4 linked regions of the Yarrowia lipolytica genome follow. The protein of the gene in region 1 interacts with the protein of each later gene in a pairwise test. Links are inferred from orthologs where the notes say so. Each region holds a gene or a part of one and is shown on either strand. Other genes may lie near its edges. The genes, in order: YALI1_B27102g, YALI1_C06917g, YALI1_F01034g and YALI1_C32706g.

Region 1 (6,922 bases):
ACAGACTTGGAGTATTGTAGCACCTCAAACGTGCCCTCGGACTCTTCTCCAAACTCCATCCACATTCTTGAGCTTCATGGTGTGGAAGTAGAACCGCATGAACCAGGGCAGAGTTTCCGAGTAGATGAAGGTGACGGGCTCGGAAGAAGGGTTGGTGAAGGCGGTTCGAACACCTCCTCGTTGTTGTCCGTGGCCAGAGAAAGACCGCTGGGCAAACACAGGAGGAGACGACACAGGGGACACATGGGTGGCGTTATCGGACGACAGAATGATGTCCAGAGAGTCAGTGTTAGCCAAAGACAGTGTAGGATAGGTGTCCAGAATCTCACCGTCCTCACCAGACTTGCTCTGCAGCTTCCATCCGTCAGGGACGTCCAGGTTGACGGAGCCCTGTCCGATTCTACAGGCTCCCTCAATAGGCCGCCCGAAGATCTCCCGGATACTCCAGGACACCTCGGTAGGGTCACCGAGAGGGAAACAGATGTAGTCGTTAGCATAGGGCTTGGAGGTGTCACATCTGAAGTCGGTTCCGTAAAGAGGTACGGGGATAGGGTGCTTGTTTCGTCTTAATTGACGAGGAACATCGACCACGGCATCTACAGTCTGCTTGAGCACCATCTTGCAGGCTTCCTCATCGGTGCATTCTCGATGAACGTCAATGGCCATACCTTGCCACTGGGAGTCGAAGATCTTGTGTCCGTCAAGAAGAGAAGAGATTCCAGCCTTACCCTTGCAAGGGAGCAGTCGAATGAAAGGAGTGAGGTTTTCGGTGCAGACAGGTTCAGCAGGAAGCGCGCCCGAGAACAGGTATGCTGTGGTTTCGTTCGCTCCGTTGGAACCTGTGGATGATTGTTTAAAGGTGAACTGAGGCTCCACTGTGTGGGCCGAGTCAATGAAGTTCAGCGAGGCGCAGAAAAGTCCAGACAGCGAGTTGACCAGTCCGAACCACTTCTTCTTGGCTTCCTGTTTGGATGAGGCCTCGATCCAGGCCCAAGCCTCGATTCCTGTTCCGCCAGCAAACGCTCCATTGTGTGGGAGAACGCCCCATTCTTCGGCGTCCCAAAATCCCTGGGCAAACCGCAAGTGGATTTCGCGCGCGTCGCTCTGGGTGATGATCTGTGAGAGAATTCGGGGGAACTCGTCGTGATGAGCGACCGGGTGGGTGTTGAAGGGTTCGGACTCAGCCTCGAATTCGAACGAGGCGTGAAGATACTTCTGCGACAGAGGCCGCAGAGAAAGGTTCTCCGAGTATCCAAGCACGCATGCCACCAATGCCAAGCAGAGCAGTATCGACAGTTTCATCGTTGTGTGCTGATGAATCTGACTCTGAGATGGGTATTACGTATTGCATGCATGCGCGTTTACAGTGCTTGTATCATACGTGGTGAGTCTAATGGTGGGATAGAGAGGCGTTATTGAGATGTGAAGTTATCAGTTAACAACTCTTCAGGCAGGAATGATGTTGAGGGATCATTATGACTCTATCAAGTATGTGATATATGTTTAAATCACCCCTATATTCCCAATATGGTACAATATTCTTGAGAATATTTTATTTATTTATTCATATTTTTTTATACATTAAACCCTATAGAATATGAGAAGAAAATATAGACAAGCATGTCAAGTAAATTGTTAGATTACAGCACAAGTACGCACTTGTACTGTGGGTAAAAAAAGTCATCTTTACTTCCTGTGTTAAGATTGTAAAAAGCGAAGCAGCTGTCATTTTTGTGGCAATACCAAGCCTTTTCTCATATAATTGGCTTCCATAATGTACCTCCTACACATATATTTTCCACCAGTTGAGAACATGATTGTTCACCATTCCTTTTTCTATAATCACATAATGCATACTGTCTGTTTTTTCTTTTCTTTCTGCATATACTGTACATTCATTTAATTATAACTTCGTCTGTGAAAGGGCTGTTTATCTTACTCCAACAAATGTCCCAACTGAGGGAAAGTAATGTTATCATGTTTTCAACTAAAAATAGAGACATACACACCTCACTTGGTACATCACCCTACCACATCTACGCGTATTTCTTGATTGAATAAAGAACGTGCACACCAAAATCCCGTTTTGCCCCTCCTTATGTCTACTTGTAGTATCTTCTCAATTCTCCACAAGATGCATCTTGTCGCACTCCCACATTATCTCAGATCAGAGCTTGATTTGTATTTTTATGCATTGCGTTTTCTCACTACTAACACACCCACACACAACAGCATGGACGAAATTAAGCGGCTGCGAGAAGACAGGCAAAAGCCGTTCTTCGAGGATGACGACGCAGTGATGGCAGACGTATCGGAAATGCAGGCTCTTAACGATGATGAGCGTCAAAACCTGCCTCAGGACTCGTATACTGCTCCACAAGAGTTCCTCAACGAGACTGTATCTTTGCAGGCTGTCGATGAGCTGCAAGCTAACGAGTCCAACAAGAGCATTTACAACCGTGCAAACGATTACAAGCGCAAACGTCTGGATCGCCAGGAGGCTGATGACGATGAGAAGGATCTAAGCTACAAGGAGCGACTGGCTTTAAGAGACCTGGAACGAGACGAGAAGCGAGTACAGGAGGCAATCAGAAAGAAGGAGGAGGCAAATGGAACATCCCAGAAGGAACAGGATGAACTTCGGAAGTTCGAACGGGCTCAAACTCCTCCCAGAGTGGGTCCTCGTGTCAGAAAGGGCCGATCAGATAAACCTGTCACTGAAGACAGTGGTGAGAGAGGACGAAAGCGGAAGTCGAGATGGGACGTTCCCGACGAAAAGGAAGCCGAGACGTCTACAACCAGCAAAATAACAGACGAGTTTCTTGCTTCGGTGCTTCCTTCGGAAGGATACATTGTACTTACTCCCCCTGCTTCATACAAGCCATTAATCAAGAGCAAGGTGACAGTCAAGATTGAGGGATACAGCATTCCAGGAGGCAGCACAGAAACTGCGGTCGATAGAGCATTGGCGATCCAGGCAGCCGTTCCTTCGGCTGACGCTATTCCTGGAGTGGGAGATTTGGCGTACTTTAAGGAAAGTGATATGAAGTACTTTGGAGCGCTGATCAAACAGCAGGATGCAGAAGAACAGGGTCTATTGAGTGCTCGTGAAATGAAGGAGCGCCAGGTGATGCGTCTGATTCTAAAAATCAAGAACGGATCTCCTCAGATGCGAAAGCAGGCCATGAGACAGTTGACTGATTCTGCTCGATCTCTGGGTCCCGAGGCCCTTTTTTCGCAAATCATCCCCCTTTTCAGAGAAAGGTCCTTGGAGGATACAGAACGACACTGGCTTGTCAAGGTGGTTGATCGAGTCCTGTTCAAGCTGGGTGATCTGGTAAGACCATACACACCCCGACTATTGTCTGTCATTGAGCCATTACTGATCGATGAGGACTATTTCACACGAGTCGAGGGACGGGAGCTGGTTGCCAACATCTCCAAGGCCGCTGGACTCCCACATATGATATCAACACTCCGACCTAACGTCGGACACGCAGACGAGTTTGTCCGAAACACCACTGCTCGATCGTTTGCCATTGTTGCTAGTGCTCTGGGAGTTCCTGCATTAGTTCCTTTCATTAAAGCCGTCTGCAAGTCAAAAAAGTCATGGGAAGCTCGTCACACAGGAGCAAAGATTGTCCAGCAGATTGCTATTCTCATCGGATGCACAGTGCTGCCATATCTCGGCTCTCTCGTGGATTGTATTGGAGACGGATTGACTGACGACAACCCTAAGGTCCGTCAGATGACCGCGCAGGCTCTTGCTGCTCTTGCCGAAGCTGCCGCCCCTTACGGTATTGAGTCGTTTGAGAACGTATTGGAACCTCTCTGGCTTGGGGTGCGAGAGCAGCGAGGTAAACATCTTGTGGCGTTTCTGAAAGCGATTGGATACATTATTCCTCTGATGAATCCCGACTATGCCGATTATTATACCAAGGAAGTTATGGCTGTCGTTCTTCGAGAGTTCTATTCCCCTGACGAGGAAATGAAGCGAGTGGTTCTGGAAGTGGTCACGCAATGTGCCCGCTCTGAGGGTGTAACCGCTCGATACATTCGTGTCGAGGTTCTTCCCACGTACTTTAAGTGCTTCTGGACCCGTCGAATGGCTTCTGATCGAGTGTGCTACAAGCTTATTCTCTCTACAACTGTGGAACTGGCTAATAAGGTCGGTACTGCTGAAATCGTGGACCGAGTTGCTAACCATCTCAAGGACGAGTCTGACCACTTTAGACGACTTACAATGGAGACTATTGACAAGGTTGTGGCCAATCTCGGAATTGCTGATATCGAGGCCGGCTCGAAACTGGAAACCCGTCTGGTTGACGGTATTCTGACGGCGTTCCAGCTGCAATCACCAGCTGCCAATGCCAACCGAGCCGACTCGATTGTCATGCTACGAGGCTTCGGAACAGTTATCCAAGCTCTTGATACACGAGCCGCACCCTACTTTTCTCAGATCACGTCTTCCGTGCTGTTCAGACTCTCCAACAAGTCCCCTATTGTTCGAAGTCAGGCTGCCGACTTGATTGGCCAGATTGCTGGAGTTATGAAGAACTGTGGAGAAGATGAGGCCCTCAACAAGCTGGGACAAATCCTGTACGAGCAGCTTGGAGAAGAGTATCCTGAGGCTCTGGGTTCTCTGCTTGGAGCCCTCAAGGCCATTGTCGCTGTTGTTGGTCTGGCTTCAATGACTCCCCCCATTCGAGATCTTCTGCCTCGTCTGACGCCTATTCTGCGTAACCGACACGAAAAGGTACAGGAGAACACCATCGATCTGGTTGGTCGAATTGCCGACCGAGGTCCCGAGTATGTGTCCGCTCGAGAATGGATGCGAATCTGTTTCGAGCTCATTGATCTCCTTAAGGCACACAAGAAGACCATTCAAAAGGCAGCAAATAACACATTTGGATATATCGCCAAGGCGATTGGCCCCCAAGATGTATTGGCCACGCTGCTATCTAACCTGCGAGTCCAGGAACGTCAGTCTCGTGTCTGTACAGCTGTGGCGATTGGTATTGTGGCCGAGACTTGTTCTCCGTTCACCGTGCTTCCTGCTCTGATGAACGAGTACCGTGTTCCTGAGATCAACGTCCAGAACGGTGTTCTTAAAGCCATGACCTTCATGTTTGAGTACATTGGAGATATGGCCAAAGACTACATTTACGCTGTGGCTCCCCTGCTGGAAGATGCTCTTACAGACAGAGACCACGTACATCGACAGACGGCAGCCACTGTTGTGCGCCATCTGGCCATCAACTGCGTGGGTCTCGGAGCCGAGGATGCCATGGTGCATTTTCTCAATCTGCTGATTCCCAACATCTATGAGACGTCTCCTCACGTGATCGTGCGTATTTTGGACGCCATTGAGGGCATTCGTCTTTGCCTGGGACCCGGCCTGGTGCTTAATTACATTTGGGCCGGTCTGTTCCATGCTGCCCGGAAGGTCAGGGATCCGTTCTGGAAGGCATACAACTCTGCGTACATCGATAATGTCGATGCCATGACTCCTTACTACCCCGACATGCCAGAGGATGATGAATTTTACCGACACGAGTTGGATTTGTGGGTTTAAGAGACTACAAGTGAATTGTTAGTTCACATTTAGCATAATGTATATTACAGAAAGGGGTTGCCCCCATCACTTAATTGACCATATACAAGTACAGTATGTACATACTGTACTCGTAAGTACGATAGCTAGCTACTGTAATTATCAGTGGCAGCTACAGTGGAGACTGCCATGGATGCAATCACAGTGACTCAGGAACAGATACAGTAGATCGATGCTGTGTTTCTTTTGTAGGAGCAAAAGTGATGGGAGAAAATATACTGTTGCCATGATCGGGTCATCTGACCGCGTTGTCCTTGCGAATACAGAGTTCCGTGGGTTCATGCTGCTTCTCCTGACAAGGAGGCAACAAACTATAGTAGTTGGCTAATCAAGTAATAATATAGCTAGCTACCTGTGTAATCATTAATACTAATCAGTATTTGCACCAAATGACAGCATTGTTGAGAGGTGTCAAATATGCGGCCTAGTCAGAGGTACCCCACAATTCAAAGACGGTATTGTACACCGCGTTGGTGTCACTGTCCGAAACAGGGGCTACTACTGTACAGTATCGTACTATACGTGGGATATGTAACCCGTTGTTCCTGCTGCCTCTTTCCTTTGATGTGACATTACAATACTGTAGCTGCAGTACATACGAAGTAGCCTTTGGTTGAGCCTAGGGTCTGCTAGACGTACAAGCGACCGTTACGAAGAGGCACTATAGTGGCGATTGGAATTGGACGAGTATGACACCATGCCACGACGCCTTTTTTTATAACTTCATTGGAACTCAAACACATGTGAATATTCCTTCAAATGTCTTTCTACTACAAGTACCTCTTACTTTTTTGACGATTATGCACCCCACAAACGTGCCCCACACTAAAATTGATCCATCATCCAAGTAAGGACAACTCTGTTTTAAGTGTCAAAAGGTGGAGGGACACTAAAGGGCTACTTGTAGTGGAAGGTATATAAAAAGTCGTAGATGTCAGCTGGGTTGTAATTGGTCCAATAAAATGATTCTACTCTACGTCCTGGCCTTTCTGGTGTCTTACCTGATTTTCACCCGTCTTCGATATCGCTACCAGAGCTATAAGCTGGCCCAAAAGTGGAAATGTTCACCGGTGAGAGACGTCTCATCGTTTCCTATGGCTTTTCCTGAGTTCTTGTTCTTCTTCAAGTCGGGCAAGAACAATGTCTTGTTAGACGAGTTTGTCAACTTCTTCACCAAACGACAACCAAACCTGACCGTGGGTCTGGTGCTGGCAGGCAATGATGTGACTGTTACACTAGAGCCTGAGAACCTCAAAGCCTTGCTGGCTACACAGTTCAAAGACTTTTGTTTAGGAGTCAGACACAACC
Region 2 (6,574 bases), on another chromosome or scaffold:
GACATCCGAGAGATTCGAACTCTCGCCTCCGGAGAGACCAGGATATTGATTCAGTCACCTGAACCTGGCGCCTTAGACCACTCGGCCAGAATGCCCGTTCTTGAAATAGAGAAAAACGTGACCTACAGTATCTTAAAAATTGCCGTTGTTGCGGCGAATAATTTTGCGAAATACTTGAGAATGAGAGTAGATTTTTTTACCAATAATATTTGATGTCGTTTGGAACACAATATGAAAGTTTCAGACGTCTATCTCCTTTATTGGGGGTATACAGCGCGACGATTACCGTTAGTCTAAAGTATACATTAATTGACTAACTAAGCTACTTACAGAAATAGAGCGATGACAGGAATGAGAGCTAGGAGAGGTGCAGTCACGATAGGAACTGCGGCGTTTGCCTGGGGAGGAACTGTTCCCGAGAACTGGGGCTCAGCTGGTTCAGAGGGAGAGGGAGGGGGAGAAGGTGTAGGCTCGGCTGGCTTGGAGGGTTCAGGCTGGAAACTGGTGGTCAAACAATCGGGAATATCACAAACAGAGGTGGTGGTGACAAAGTAAGTCATTGTCTCGATAGAAGGAGGAGCAGGAGGAACGGATTCAGACGTAATTGGCTCGGGAGTAGGCTCAGGCTTTGAAGAGATCACCGGCTCAGATTTGGGCTCAGTGGTGGGATCAGGCTTGGATTGAATCTTGGGTTGAGGAACCTCGGGGGAGGGTTCAAGGGCCTTGGTGGTTGACTTGGGAGTGGGTTCCGAAGTGGTGATCGGTTCTGGCTCAGGAAGGGAAGTATTATTTTCAATGTGAATTTTGGTGGTCGACTGGACAGGCTCTGGGGTGGACTCAGGGACTTAGAGGACCCAACCGACTTAGGAGGCTCCGTGGTTGACTTGGGAGGCTCCGTGTCTGACTCCGTCTTTGTCTCAAGAACATCTGCAGAGTCACAGGGAACAGTAACCGTGACAATCTTGCTGGAGATGGTGGTGACGATGGTTGTGGAGTAGAGAGTAGAGGTAGGGGGAATGGTAGAGACCTGAGCTTCGGGGGTTGTTTCCGGCAGAGTTGAAGTCTTGGAGGATGTTCTGGAGGATGTGCTAGGGGTTGATGTAGGCTTGGACTCAGTGGACGAAGGCGTTGGAGTAAAAGTCTTAGTAGGAAGGACAGTTGTTGAAGTTTTGGTTGTGGTTTGTTTGACACATTCAGTGACAACCCCAGTGGTGGTCCAGATATCGAAACCTGAATCAGTTTCCCAAGTCTTGGTTACCAGCACCTGCTCTTCAGGAGGGCAGGTGGAAGGAGGCCGGTTTCGACAGGTGGTGAAGACGTACTCGTTCACAATGCATAGCTCGTCCTCATATGTCATCTCGGTTTTGGTGTGGAGACGGTATTCGGAGGGCTCGCAATGAAGACCGAAGGCCTTGACTGTTTGCAGAGATGTTGTAGTGATTGCAGCTGAGTTGGCGGTGGTTGAAGAGGTTGAGGTCATGGTAGGCGTAGCTGTTGGAGCAGCCAGAGCCGGAGCTAGGAGGAGAAAAAGAGGGAACATGTTGTAGATGATGGGGTTCTTACGGCGGTGTCAAGGGTATTTATAGACATTCTGTAAACCCCCTTGATGATATTTCACGAAAGGCTTGATCGCTTTGGTGGTGTTTCTAATGAGCTTCACGGTTATTGACTTGGTCTCTTTGGTGAGATTTGGTCCAAGGTGTTTTTTGAAGTGACTGTTTTCGGTGAGTTGTAGCAGCCTCAATAATGGCCACTTTTAGTATGAAACAATACTGACTATTACTTTTCAACTACTCGTTCAAACCGCCCAGATACCAGCCTAATGATGGCAGTTACCGCAACGAGAGAAGCACAGCACAATTGCACGTGCCCCTGCCACTATCTTGAGCCAAACAGTTGTTCAATGCCCTTCTTTCAAACAGCAGTATTGATGTTTATTATCTCTCCTTTTGTCTGCTGACTGTTTGTCTGTTTCATCTTGTGGTTTTTGGTCCGGTCTATTGACTCTTCCTAGTACGGAGGAGCACGGTGTTGTAGTAGGAGGACCCCAGCAGTTTGCAAAATTCATAAATGAAAGCTCCTAAGGAACAATTTTCTGGATATAAACAGTATGTAGCAATAAAAAACCAATATTTATTACCAGAATTGCAGTTTTTGTGTGTTCTTTCACGTCATTATGACTGCTTGAGGTAGACACGCTTGACTGAGAACAGAGATCATCTAAAACCTGTTGTAGAGTAGATATCGAAATGAAATCTTATTCCAGCATCTCATTGCGGCACATATCCCCATTAAGTTGATTATCTACTCGCTAGCACCAATACTACTGCCCCAGAAGGTGGTCTCTCTGTACCGGATCTACCTCCTCTCTATCCCGATATCTTCATTAAAATTAGTTGGGAGAAGCTCCACCATATATAAGTAAGTATTTCACTCCAATCTCCCAGTCAAAACACCCTCTCTATCTCACCAACCACAAGGCTTACCGGAAAAGCAAGAGAGTATACTGCCATTTATTTCTCCATGAACCCTCAAATCCGCCGTCGGTTCCCCTCCACCGCTTCTCCCCACGCCATTATCTCCACCGTTAGTCCCCATCCGTGAACCCTATTTCCGGTTAATTTTTAAGCTCTGCATAATTATATCCGACTCTCTCAACATCGCCACTGCAAACACCTGCGATATATCTTCGTCTTTATCGGTTTACAGCCCTGATGCCACGTGACCGTGAGTATGACCAATGGGGCTATTCTGGCACCCGCAGAGATGGAGGTGGACGGTACGGATACCGAGATCGCTCGAGAGACGAGCGAGATCGGTTCCGGGATGTTAGAGACAGAGACAGAGACAGAGACAGAGACAGAGAAAGAGACAGAGGGGGTTACAGACAGGACCCGCGCGACCGACGTTATTCGAGATCACGTGAGCGGGAACGTCGCGGCTCTGGTTCACGGGATCGGTCACGGGATCGGTCACGGGATCGGTCACGGGACGCACATCGACCTCCCCCCTCGGGCCGTCCACACCAGCCTTCTGGGCATGATTCTACTAAGTCATCTAATTCCATGAGTGAAACTTCGAGTACTAGCCAGGTGACCGGCACCACGCCCAATACGACAAATGCAACCCCGTCGCAAGCAGAAATCGACGCCAAAAAAGCTGCCAAGCTTGCCAAAGTCGCTGAATGGAAGCGCAAAAAGGAGCTGGAGAGAAGTAAGAGCGCCAGCGCGAGCCCTGCTCCTTCCACCGCCCCCGCTTCTCCGAAAGCCGGCTTCTCCATGTCCGGATTGAGTGGTTTGCGTAAAGCTACAGATCAGGGCCAGGTGAAGAGAAAGATGTTCTTTGGGGGAGACTCAGATGAAGAGGACGCCGGTAGGAAGCCGGCAAAATTGTTGAAAAAGTTGGGTGAGAAGGAGGGCAGTGGTAAGAGTGAGGGTAAGGGAAGAGGTGGAAGCCAAAGTGAGGCCAAGAATGCCTCTGAAAAGAACGGTGCTGCTTCTGAGCCTGCCGAAGTCGACCCCCTCGACGCCTACATGTCTTCCCTGACCCTTCCAACCACCACATCTGTCTCCATAGCCGACTCCACTCCTTTGGAAAATCTCAATGTCTGGGAGCAGGTGGATACGCTGGAAAAGTCACAGGATCCGACTCTCGATCTTTCTGCGCTTTCGAAACGAAAGGAGATTGCGATTGTGGACCACTCCAAACAGGTCTATGAAGACTTCCGACGCCAATTCTACGTCGAATCGAGCGAACTTGCCGACATGACTGAAGCCGAAACGAATGAGCTGCGTCTTTCACTCGACGGAATCAAAATCCGAGGCAAAGATTGTCCCAAGCCAATCTCCAAATGGACACAACTGGGTCTTCCGGGACCTACTATGGGAGTTCTGAACGACTTGCGATACGATAAACCCACAAGTATCCAAGCCCAGGCAATTCCAGCTGTCATGAGCGGCCGAGATGTGATTTCTGTAGCCAAAACAGGTTCAGGAAAGACCTTAGCGTTTCTATTACCAATGCTACGTCACATCAAACACCGTGTTGGGGTCGAAACACATACCACCACTCTTTCGGGGGCCTCCTCTCACCCCTTGGGTGTCATCATTACACCCACAAGAGAACTGTGTGTACAAATCTACCGAGACTTGAGGCCGTTTCTGGCTGCTCTCGAACTCACAGCTGTATGCGCTTATGGCGGCAGTCCCATCAAAGACCAGATTGCTGCTCTCAAAAAGGGCACCCATATCATTGTCTGTACTCCTGGACGAATGATCGACTTGTTGGCTGCCAACCAAGGTAGAGTGCTCTCATTATCCAGAGTGACCTTCCTGGTCATTGACGAAGCCGATCGAATGTTCGATATGGGCTTTGAGCCTCAGGTTCTCAAGTTGACCCAATCTATCCGACCTGACCGGCAAACTGTACTTTTTTCAGCCACTTTTCCGAAGAAAATGGAACAGCTGGCGCGAAGAGTGCTCAGCAAGCGGTCGTCTGACTCCCTGGGTCCTATTGAAATCATTGTCGGAGCGCGCTCCGTGGTTGCTTCTGAAATCACGCAGTTTGTGGAAGTATTCCAGAACGAAAAGAGCAAGTTCCCGCGCCTTTTAGAGGTTCTGGGCAAGTATTTTGCTCAGGGATTCTTTGACGAGCAAAGTGAGGGTCGTGTGGGTACCGGAGAGTCGGCAGCTACCCCCATTCCCAACCCCAAGTGTCTCATCTTTGTGGAGCGTCAGGAGAGTGCTGATTCTTTGCTCAAGGAGCTCATCCAATCTGGTTACCCGTGTCTTTCTATTCATGGAGGCAAGGAGCAGGCTGATCGAGACCAGGCGATCAGCGATTTCAAAAGCGGGCTTGTTTCCGTGCTCATTGCCACCTCTGTGGCTGCTCGAGGTCTCGACGTCAAGGGGCTCGGTCTAGTTGTCAACTGGGACTCCCCCAACCACATGGAAGACTACGTGCATCGGGTTGGGCGAACCGGACGGGCTGGTCAGAAGGGTACAGCGTTGACGTTCCTTCTGAGTGACCAGGAGCGTCTGGCAGCTGAAATCTCACGTGCCATCAAGTCGTCTGGAAACGCGCCCCCTGCGCCTGTGCAGCTCATGACCGAGAGATTCGAGTTCAAGGTGCGGTCTGGAACTGAGAAGAGACACATGTACGGCTTCTCTGGTAAAGGTCTGGAGCGTCTACAGGATGAGAGAGATGCGACCAGAGAACATGAGCGACGAGCATATGAGGGAGACGAGGCTGGAGAGGCTGAGACGGAAAGCAGTACTCCAGCTGCCAGTACTGCAAACACTGATATCATTCCCAAGCCTGTGATTGTGGTTACTCCTCCAGACAGCAAATCCCCCACAACTGCTTACCACACGACGCTGCAGATCAACGACTTCCCTCAGCAGGCTCGATACAGAGCCAGTAGTAACACTTCTGTCAGTCGTGTTATTGCCAACACTGGTTGCAGTATCACTGCTAAGGGCGAGTACTATCCTCCTGGTCGTATTCCCGGACCCAAGGATGAACCCAAGCTGTTTATTCTCATTGAGGGTACCAGTGAGCGGGCGGTGAAACTGGCTCATCATGAGTTGTCGGAGCTTCTGGTGAGTGGTTTGGTTAAGGGCGCTAGGTATCAGGTGTAGACGATACCAAGGGGGGGTCAAACTTTGTAGGACCGAGTATGGAATGGTCCATGTACGAGTAGGAAGATGTATATATTATAACGATTGACGAATGAAGCGGTTGAGAGGCAGAAAGTATTCCACTTGTTCCAGTATCTACGGTACAATAACTAAGGAGTAACCATTAGTTCTCAGTCAGACTTGGCTATGGTGTCATGGTGTACACACTATTGGACTGTTGCTGAGTTTTCATTTGGAGATCTCTCAGGAGCTGGATCTTTTCTCATGCTCTCGTTGTATAACGATGTTTCAACCTGAACCCCGTTATCACCACCCTTCACCATTGCACCCCACCAATCGTTAAAATAATACATTCCTATATAATCCTTCTAGTCTCAGATGGCGCGTAACCATCCACATGAGTCGTCCTAGCCCCTTGTTGTTATTGTTGAGTCGTTGAGCATCTCTCCACAAGAAAGCATCGTGGAGACAATGTAGCCGCAGACAACACAATGGCAACACTGCAGAATCTCGGGAATCACAGTAATCACATGAGTCGCCCACTAATCATAAATCAATGGCTCCTCGACTTTCTCTGTCTTCATCAATTCGGTCCGGTTCTTAGCCTTCTCCTTGGCCAGCTGCTGACTGAGTTTGCCACCCTTATTCTGGCCCTGGGCCCGGGCCTCTGCGGCGCGTGCGGCGGCCTCCTTGGCGTCCAGCGTTTCGGCTGTGCCTCCCAGAGTGTGTCCTGGCGAGTTGTATGTGTTTGTTGGCTGTTTGGGCGGTTGTTTCTTGAGTGGGATGTTTTCCGTCTTTGCTGGTTTGGCAGGCTTAGCCGCTGGTGGTGCTCGTCCTGCGGTCCTGCCCGACGTGGACGCGGGCTCGCTCTTGCTGAAACACGAACCCATCGTTGTAGTCGGCGTCAAGTGTGTGTGGAGTGATGATGTGCGGGT
Region 3 (4,661 bases), on another chromosome or scaffold:
TGGTAGGCTCAGCGGGGGCGGAGGTGGCTGCAGCAGGGGGGGCGGCAGCAGCTGTCTCCTTCTTGGGCTCCTCCTTGGTCTCAGGAGCAGCGGAAGCAGCGGAAGAAGAAGAGGCGGCAACAGGAGTGGCCGGAGTAGCAACAGGAGCAGCAACAGGAGCCTCCTTCTTGGGCTCATCCTTCTTGGGCTCCTCCTTCTTGAGGGCCTCCTCCTTCTTGGGCTCCTCCTTCTTGGTCTCCTCCTTCTTGGGCTCCTCCTTCTTTGGCTCCTTCTTCGCCTCAACCTCCTTCTTGGGCTCCTCCTTGACGTCCTCCTTAGGCTCCTCCTTGACATCCTCCTTGGCCACCTCTTCGTCGTCATCCTTCAGGAACCGGAACACGTCGCTGTAGATGGAGTAGTTGGTGCCGCTCTTGCTTTCGAGAACAACGGACTGCACAAACTTCTGAGGCACGCCATCGTCGGTGGACGACATCTGGCCGATGATCTGGATCAGAATGGACTTGTTGGGGCCCTCCATGGCGTCCAGGCACGAGATGAGCGTCTTGCAGCCCTTGGTGTGCAGCTGGCTAATCCGCTCCTGGATGCTCTCTGTGCCAGAGATCGCGGCGGTGTCGTCCTGCTCCTTGCCGTGCAGCAGCTTCGCATCGACGTCGTAAAAGTGGTGCAGCTCGCTGGGGTCCGAGTGCAGTCGCTTAAAGTACTGCGACACAAACAGCCATGCAATCTGTTCAGCGGTGGGGGACATCTGGGTTAGCGAGGTGAAGAAAAGTGCAAGTGCGGATCGCAGGCGAGGTCGTAAGACGGGAAAAAGACACTATTGCTCGTCAGACTGGGTGCAAGAGACCAGCTTTTGTGTATGACAGCAGCAGATCTGTAGTGGAGATGCAGTATTGGGATCACAGATGTGGGTCTGTCGCCAGCTCACTAGCGATATGATGATGTCTGCGGTGATCTGTCGAGTGCTGTCTGTTGGATGCTGTACGTTGAGTGTTGCCTGACGAGCACTATCCGCTAATGACGTGTCTTCTCTTTGACCTGTGAGTTGCTGTATCTTTTCTCTCTGCAGTCAGCCTGACAACTGCGTATGCGTGTATTCGTGGGACTGGCGGTAGGTGGGAGACCAAGATGGTCTGTAATGAACTGAATCAACACCCGAAAGGGCCAAATGAACACGTATGACAGCCCTAAATCAGCACCAACAGATCCGGTGGCCAACATTCACTGAATTCATGTCAGCATTAGTCACATCAAAGTCACCACATAGTCACAGCAACAACATCATGATAGAACACACACAGTCAACAGCAGACAGAAGCAGCAAACAGCTCCAGCAACCAGCCAACAGCTCCATCCACCAGCCAACAACATAACCTGCGTCTCTCACCGCTCTCGTCGTCCTACCACCGTGTCTGTGCCTCACTCTCTGCCGCTCTCTACCTCCTCACATTGGGGACATTTCATCGTTGTTGATCCAAACACAAAGAGGCAGAAAAGAGCGAAATCAACACACACAGACCGACACCGGAGACGTCACGTGGCCCATCTCCGAGCGCGGTGCCGCGCCATACTCACCGTAAAACGGATGTGATCAAAGACTAGGGTTGAGGGTCTTGAGGTGAAAGAAAAGCACTTTCATCAGGCGAACTTAAAACTACGGCTGACTAAGGTGGGTGGGTGAGTATGGGTTAGGTTAAGAGTGGTGGTGGAAAATTGTTCACCAGTTCGATTTTCCGCCATTTCAATGAATTTTTTGTTTTAATATTTCTTTTCGTTTTCCCAGATCAGTTCAATTCACCTGGAAATGAGCACAAAATAGTCTGGCTTTTGGTTGTTGCTTTAGGCTGAATGAAATAAATTTATAAAAATTAAAAATTTAAAAATTAAAAATTAAAAATGTATTTTTAAAAAAAACCACAAAAGAAATAAAGAAATAAAAAAATACCAAAGGTCAATAAAAATGGAGAAAAATACAAATATACAAAAATACAAATACATCAATTCATTAAATCAAGGATTTTTTTTTGTTTTTTCATTTAATTTTTTTCCCAAATCAATTCATATCTCTTAATCTGAAACCTAAAATCGCCCACCAATATGGAATTCCAAGCTCGACAATTACACGATACTAATTCACTCCAACATGTCAGACAACCAATTGGCGGAAATCGCGGCAATTGCCCCGTTACCGCCCGCCGGTGGAGACCCCGATCACGTGACATACTCGACGATCAAGGGCACGTATCTGTATGAGAAGGAGGAAGATGGGACCATGTTCGAGTTTGACCATGTGACTAGAGGCTGGCGGTTGATAGAGGAGGAGGAGGAGGACAAGGAGGAGGAGGTGGAGGATAAGGGAGACGAGTTGGAAGCGGCTCTGGTTGCTGGGGAGACGACGGACACAACTGCGACTGCGAAGGCGGAACCGAGTGGGAGGGATACGGGCAAAAACCAGCCGGTTTCGGACAAGAAGGCGGTTCAGGAGCAGCTCAAAAAGAGGCGCAAAGAGGTAATTGAGGAGCGACGGAATGCGAAAAAGGCTCAGCAGAAGGGCGACAAGCCTCCTCAGAAGGCCATCTATGTCAGTGGGCTTCCTTCAACTGCTACCAACGATGAGCTGGTGGACATTTTCCAAAAGTACGGAGTGTTGGCCGAAGATGTTTACACTGGCAAGAAGAAGGCTCGGGTTTATGTCGATGAGCAGGGCAAGGGCAAGGGCGACGGTCTGGTGGTTTTTTTCAAGCCCGAAAGCGTGAAATTGGCGGTGGATATGCTGCACAATCAGCCAGTTTACGTTGGCGACACAATGGTCACTCTGAATGTCCAGCCGGCAGTTTTCGACAAGGAAAAGGGCAGTAGCGACAATAAGAAGCAAGAGACGAATTCCGGTCCCAATTACTCCGAAGAAGCCAAGGCCAAGGCCAAGAGGAAGTACACTCAATTGCAGCAAAGGCTCAACGATTGGGATGAGGAGGAGGTCAAACGAGTCAAGACGGAGTCTCGTGAAAAGTCGTCCAAGGTGGTCACTCTCAAACGGGTATTTACCATTCAGGAGCTCCAGGATGACGTGGATGCCGAAATGGACATCAAGGAAGATATTTATAACGGTTGTGGAGCTATCGGAACAGTCACAAACGTGACTTTATACGACCTGGAGCCCGACGGAGTGGTGACCGTCAAGTTTGAAAGAGCTTCCGATGCCGCGGAGTGCGTGGAGAAGATGAACGGTCGCTTCTTTGGTGGCCAGAAACTCGAGGCATACATTGATTATGACGAGACCAAGTGGAGAAAGACTAAGGATCGGGGAGGTGATGAGGAAGATGAGGAGAGGCTGGAGAGGTTTGGAGAGTGGCTGGAGGGCGAGTAGTATAGTATGTACTCTGTTAGATACACTTGGTCTCCATCTCGCCATAAGTGCGTGTATACTAATCATATAGATCGACAAATGGACAAGTTGAGTTCAATAGGGTATGACGCGCGAAGCCGAATCAATTACTTAACGTTAGTTTTTTGTATTTTTTTTATTTTATTTGTTATAACATAATAATATTGAAACGTCGATATTTTGTTTAAATAGTTACCATATTTACAAAATTGTTAAAATCATTGTTAAGATTCTGTATCCCAGGGTTTAGATATTGTTACAGTATCTGGAGAAGAACAAAGTAAACCTATGAAGCACGAATTTGTCATTGTATCCTGTCAAATATGACTTGAAGCAGCCTTCATATTGTCAGCTACTGGTGCAGTTTTGGATGTCTCCGAGAATGATTGAGTAGTGTTCCATTTCGACGCAGATTTAAACTGGAGGTTCTAATCGGCTTTATGAAATAGATAGAAAACAAGTGTTACAACGGCAATAACTTCAAAAGCCAGGCCAATATTTCCAGGCCAATATTTCCAGGCCAATATTTCCAGGCCGTTTTTATACTAACATAATACATTTTTATTTCATTTTTTGGCTAGTTCAATCGGTACAGTACCAGATAACTCCAACTAAATTTACTTGATAACCCAACTGAAGAGTGAATCATTAATTTGAGTCGAAAATAGTCGTCGTCTGCTGATCGATATAAGTAGTAAAAGGCAATAAAAGTAGTATTAATTGAAATCTGGCACTTATATTATTACTTTGATCCACTTTTTTATCTCCATAATATTGATTCTACACAGGTTTGATAGACTAGTGAGCAGATTGAATATATGCGTTTATTCTCTATTTTAAACAAAATCAATTCAAATAGTTAGAAAATATGTTGATAAGTTCTTAAAGTAGCTTAGAAATTAGGAAATGTCTTATTAAATACAGTTAAAAATACTTGGAAATCCTTCCACTACAACACAGTGGATAAGTCCCGTTACAGACCTATATGGTCAGTTTGAAGTCCAAAATTGTCTAAATATAAATATTTACAACATGAGCACACTTTTCTCCTCGTCTCTTCCAGTCAATTGAGTCATCCATTGCAACTATCGTCGACTCACTCCCAGATTACGTGACTCCATCAATGTACTTCCAAGGTATTCAGATCACGTGATTCGATCAATGTACTTCCAAGAAATCCAGATCACGTGACTTCAATTATCCCACGTGTCCGTTTGATTCTGTCTGGCTCAGTTTGCTGCCCCTGAATCGCAAAAAACTGCTCTTCTAATCCTAGCAT
Region 4 (3,991 bases), on another chromosome or scaffold:
GCGCGCATTCGGAAATGTGTGGGTGTATTTGGCAATTCATAGAGACTGTCCTACTACCCCTGTCGCCCCAGACGAATCTATTGGATTTGTCTTTTTTGCTGAAATTAAGACGCATTCCTAAAGTGGATCTCACGTATACCAACACTGATAATCCGAGTCAGCATGAGCCCAAGAGCCTACTGTGTACCCTGTGCGCCCTGTGCACCCCCTTTTTTTACGAGGTGCTAATCCGTGTTTAACATCGTATAGCTGTTATTGGGGAGCAGATTTCGGCCTATGTCTTTAATTTCTCTGTGTTACGATTTTCACACTCTTCAGGGGGCTTTGGTCGGTGTAGCCCGTATTATCACTCAACGTCACGGTGACATTATATCCATTAGGTTTGAAGTTGTAGAGTGTAAATCGTGTTATTAAACTCTTTCTACATTGTCAGAAAAAAACACAGATTCCCGAAAGCGATACCCTGAGAGAGGAGCTATTCGGTGGCACCTGGACATCCCGGTTTCAAAATTAGCGCTCTGTATACGCACAGACGCTCTTCTGACAGCTAACAGAGTGGGCGGACGTCACCGCCGGGTTTGCAAAAATGCTCCATTTTAGCATTTATAGGTGACATAAGCCTCAGAGGCTAGCCACCCACGTCAGAGTATCGTGGAGCTACTTGTACAGGTCACGTCGACAGCGAGTTCCCAGAGCTCACAAGCGGTCCTTGGAAGGCGGAGAAAAGATAAAATTACATGGGGCAAAGGCTACTAACGCTTGAAATGCTCGTATCGTGATTTTTCGCTTTTTCGTCATCCGCTCAAGTTCTAAAATCTTGATGGAATACGGTGACAGACGCTAGTCATGCACGTTTTGGGTCTAGAATATAGAACTCGGACGTAGCAGGGGCTGAGCTGCCGTAGTTCAAAAATGCCTGGTGCGACGGCCTCCTAGACCTCACCAATCAATGACAAAAACGCACAACGAAAACCCAGCGGTCGTCAACCACCGAGAACTGTTTCTGGCGATTGCAGCCTCGATAGGAAAGGTTGTCGAGGACAACGGCCTTATCTACACCAACTGTGGAGTCGACAGACACGCTCAAGTGACATTTCCCGCGTCCAATGTCTCAGATGCCCAGCTCGACCGGATGATGGACTTCTACCACACCAGCCTTCCTCGTACCATAGGTGTATGGAAGGAGGACGGAGTTGGAAACGAGGCTCTGTCGGCTCGGCTTCTTGCTAGAGGCTTTCAGATTGGTTGGGAGCCTCAGTGGATGGTTTTGGATCTCGATACTGCCGACATTCGACCCAAGCACATCAAAGATGTGTACATCAAGGTCAACAACATGGCTGTGATTCCTTCCAGTATCCCATTTTCCAACAAGGAGGACGACGGCATGTACGCCCTCGATATGCGACGTTCAGGCGTTATTACCAAGTTTGTCGCCACTCACAAGGGCCAAATTATCGGCCATGCCGATCTATTCATGGGCACCGAAGCCGGTATTCACAACATTGGTGTTCACGACGACCACAGTGGCAAGGGAATCGGTGGTCAGCTCGTCAAGAATGCTTGCGCTTTCGCTCAGAAGAAGGGTTACAACCGAGTCTCTCTCAACGCTGTCAGCCAAGAGCTGTACCTCAAGCTGGGTTTCAAACATATTGTGAATGGAACTACCTGGTGGCTCTACCGAGAGGAGTTTGAAAAGTGCCAGAACAGCCCTGCGGAACAGAAGATCATCCAGCATGTCTGTCTTGGTGAACTCAACGAGATGGAGAAACTGCCAGCTGGAACTTCCTTCTCTTTCCCCACTACCAGTGGAATGTCTCTGCTACAGATGGCCGTCAAATTCAAGCATACCAAGATGGCCCAGTGGCTCATTTCCAAGGGAGCTCCTCATACCATTCTTGACCTGTGGGACATTGGAGGAGCGTCCTTGGCCAGTTCCATGCTTCCTACCCACATTGACGACCTGATAGAAGGGAAGACAGCTCTGCATCATGCTGTTGAACGGGGAGATGTGGAACTATCCAAGCACCTCTTGGCTTTCAACCCCAACCTGGACATTCGCGACTCCACCTACTCGTGCACAGCGCTGGGATGGTGTTCTGTTCTAGAGAGAAAGGAGATTGGCACCCTTATTCGAGAGGCTGTTGAGAAGATCGAAAACACCGAGTTTTCGTCGGTTGCAAGCACCTTGTAGCTTGAGTGCTAAAATTATTTAATGAGATATTGTGGGGTCTATGGGGGAGGATGCACCAAGTGCACAGACGGAATATTATAAAAATTAATGAACATTGCGGTAACTAACATATTGATCTACTGTAGGGGATCGAATATATATTTAATTCTTCGTATTTGACGAGCGCTAATATAGTAGATATTAAAACAATTTTTGTTCCATTTTAATTTCAAGCGGACTCTCGATACACTTTAAGCTTCGGAACAGCTGCACTACACTTAACATTTGGGCTCACGGGATTCAGCACGACCTGACAACACCATGGACGAATATCTGGCGAAAAAATACGGCTCTAAACCAAAGAAAACGAAAAAGCGAAAACTGGTGGAAGGCTTGGATGTGGATACCGCGCCAATTACGCAGCGACAGACACAACAGGCCCCTCCACCTCCGCGTGCCAAGGGCGGATGGAAGACTCTGTCTGGAAAGGCTATTGATCCGGTAGAAGAGACGGTCTATCGAGATGCCTCGGGAAACATCATTTCTGTGGACGACCAGATCTCCGTGTTACAGCAACGTCAGCAGGAGAAGGAAGCAGCTGAGCGTCGGAAAAAAGAGAACCTGCTAGGTGCAGTTCAAGTGGAGGAGGCCAGGAAACGACAGGCTAAAGAGGAGGCCATGAAACACACCAAGGTGACTGTGCATGCTGATGACAAGGAATACAATGAGGAACGTCAGAACCGGGCTATTTATGCTGATCCGGCAGCCAAGTTTGGAAAGGCCACACCCAAGGCTTCGACTACGAGCTCTGGAGGAGCCTTGCCTTCATACACTGGTTCGTTCCCCTCGAATCGGTTCAACATCAAACCAGGGTGTTTATGGGATGGCAATGATCGCAGCAATGGATTCGAGGCCAAGTGGCTATCGAGACAAGAGGAGATGAAACGTCAGGCCGATGTGGATTATCAGAATGAAATGGACTTTTGATTGGTTGAAGATGAAAGGTGCATATATTTATAGACATAATATACAGTCATTAATAGGGTTGTAGAACGGATACCCACTGATTCGGATAAGGGCGACATCATCTTTACCTGTTAAAGGTGGTTTACAATTGCTTCATGTGTAGTGTGTGTGGCGAGCCGACCTAAGTTCAGATAGCATAACAAACACACACACTCTCCCTCTGACATACTCTTCCACACAGTCACAGACACTCAGACACCCGGACACCCTACACCTCTGATACCCACATTCACTAAGAGAGTTGCCATGCTGATACCGGTTGATATTCTCCATTCAGGTGCGCACCATCCCTGAGTCCTTTGCTAACGACAGATACCTCGTTCTAACCTTCGACGTGGAGCTCCCTACCACCGAGATCAACCAGATTATGTTCAAGCACTTTCCGCTGAAGTCGGTCATAACATTGTCTCGGACCTGCCACTGACTCAGGGACTACATTGCTTGCGAAGATGCAACACCGGGAAAGACAAGGTTCTCGAACGATTCCCCTGGATGGAGCTGGCTTCAGATGCCCAATTGTTCACCTGGCTGGATTGTGCCAGACTGATTGTGCCTCACATGGCCGCCAGGGTAAATAACCAACAGCAATGGTAGTCAATGACAATAGACGAGAGGTACGAACAGCTCACGGGCCCTTTCTACAAGAACCTCGAGGTTACCTATATTCATGCAGTCAAGCGCTCCGGATCCACGCTCACCGCCCAGTTGAAGCCCCTCTTCGAGACTGGTACGTTTTATGTGTTCCGTGAAGGACGAACCCGAGGCAAGTACCAGAGACTACACTCCTCACGACAA

What was found.
Region 2: the proteins of YALI1_B27102g (region 1) and YALI1_C06917g interact in a two-hybrid assay, tested with the Saccharomyces cerevisiae proteins (3 studies listed by BioGRID). The link is inferred for Yarrowia lipolytica from reciprocal best matches to the Saccharomyces cerevisiae genes HSH155 and PRP5.
Region 3: the proteins of YALI1_B27102g (region 1) and YALI1_F01034g interact in binary tests that used the Saccharomyces cerevisiae proteins (3 or more experiments, as listed by UniProt). The link is inferred for Yarrowia lipolytica from reciprocal best matches to the Saccharomyces cerevisiae genes HSH155 and CUS2.
Region 4: the proteins of YALI1_B27102g (region 1) and YALI1_C32706g interact in binary tests that used the Saccharomyces cerevisiae proteins (3 or more experiments, as listed by UniProt). The link is inferred for Yarrowia lipolytica from reciprocal best matches to the Saccharomyces cerevisiae genes HSH155 and BUD13.

What each region holds. Positions count from the first base shown.
Region 1 is NC_090771.1:2,705,376-2,712,297, reverse strand, and holds YALI1_B27102g (uncharacterized protein), read left to right. Parts: upstream 1-2,098; coding exon 2,099-5,575; downstream 5,576-6,922. Other genes in the region: YALI1_B27110g (uncharacterized protein), read right to left, coding at 25-1,302; YALI1_B27057g (uncharacterized protein), read left to right, coding at 6,577-6,922. UniProt on the Saccharomyces cerevisiae protein: Contacts pre-mRNA on both sides of the branch site early in spliceosome assembly.
Region 2 is NC_090772.1:687,923-694,496, reverse strand, and holds YALI1_C06917g (uncharacterized protein), read left to right. Parts: upstream 1-2,714; coding exon 2,715-5,639; downstream 5,640-6,574. Other genes in the region: YALI1_C06929g (uncharacterized protein), read right to left, coding at 331-770, 860-1,540.
Region 3 is NC_090775.1:101,286-105,946, forward strand, and holds YALI1_F01034g (uncharacterized protein), read left to right. Parts: upstream 1-2,140; coding exon 2,141-3,364; downstream 3,365-4,661. Other genes in the region: YALI1_F01020g (uncharacterized protein), read right to left, coding at 1-745. UniProt on the Saccharomyces cerevisiae protein: U2 snRNP protein which helps to refold U2 into a structure favorable for its binding to SF3b and SF3a prior to spliceosome assembly. Mediates functional interactions between U2 RNA and PRP5.
Region 4 is NC_090772.1:3,269,124-3,273,114, reverse strand, and holds YALI1_C32706g (uncharacterized protein), read left to right. Parts: upstream 1-2,491; coding exon 2,492-3,157; downstream 3,158-3,991. Other genes in the region: YALI1_C32721g (uncharacterized protein), read left to right, coding at 950-2,191. UniProt on the Saccharomyces cerevisiae protein: Required for efficient splicing and pre-mRNA nuclear retention. May also be involved in positioning the proximal bud pole signal.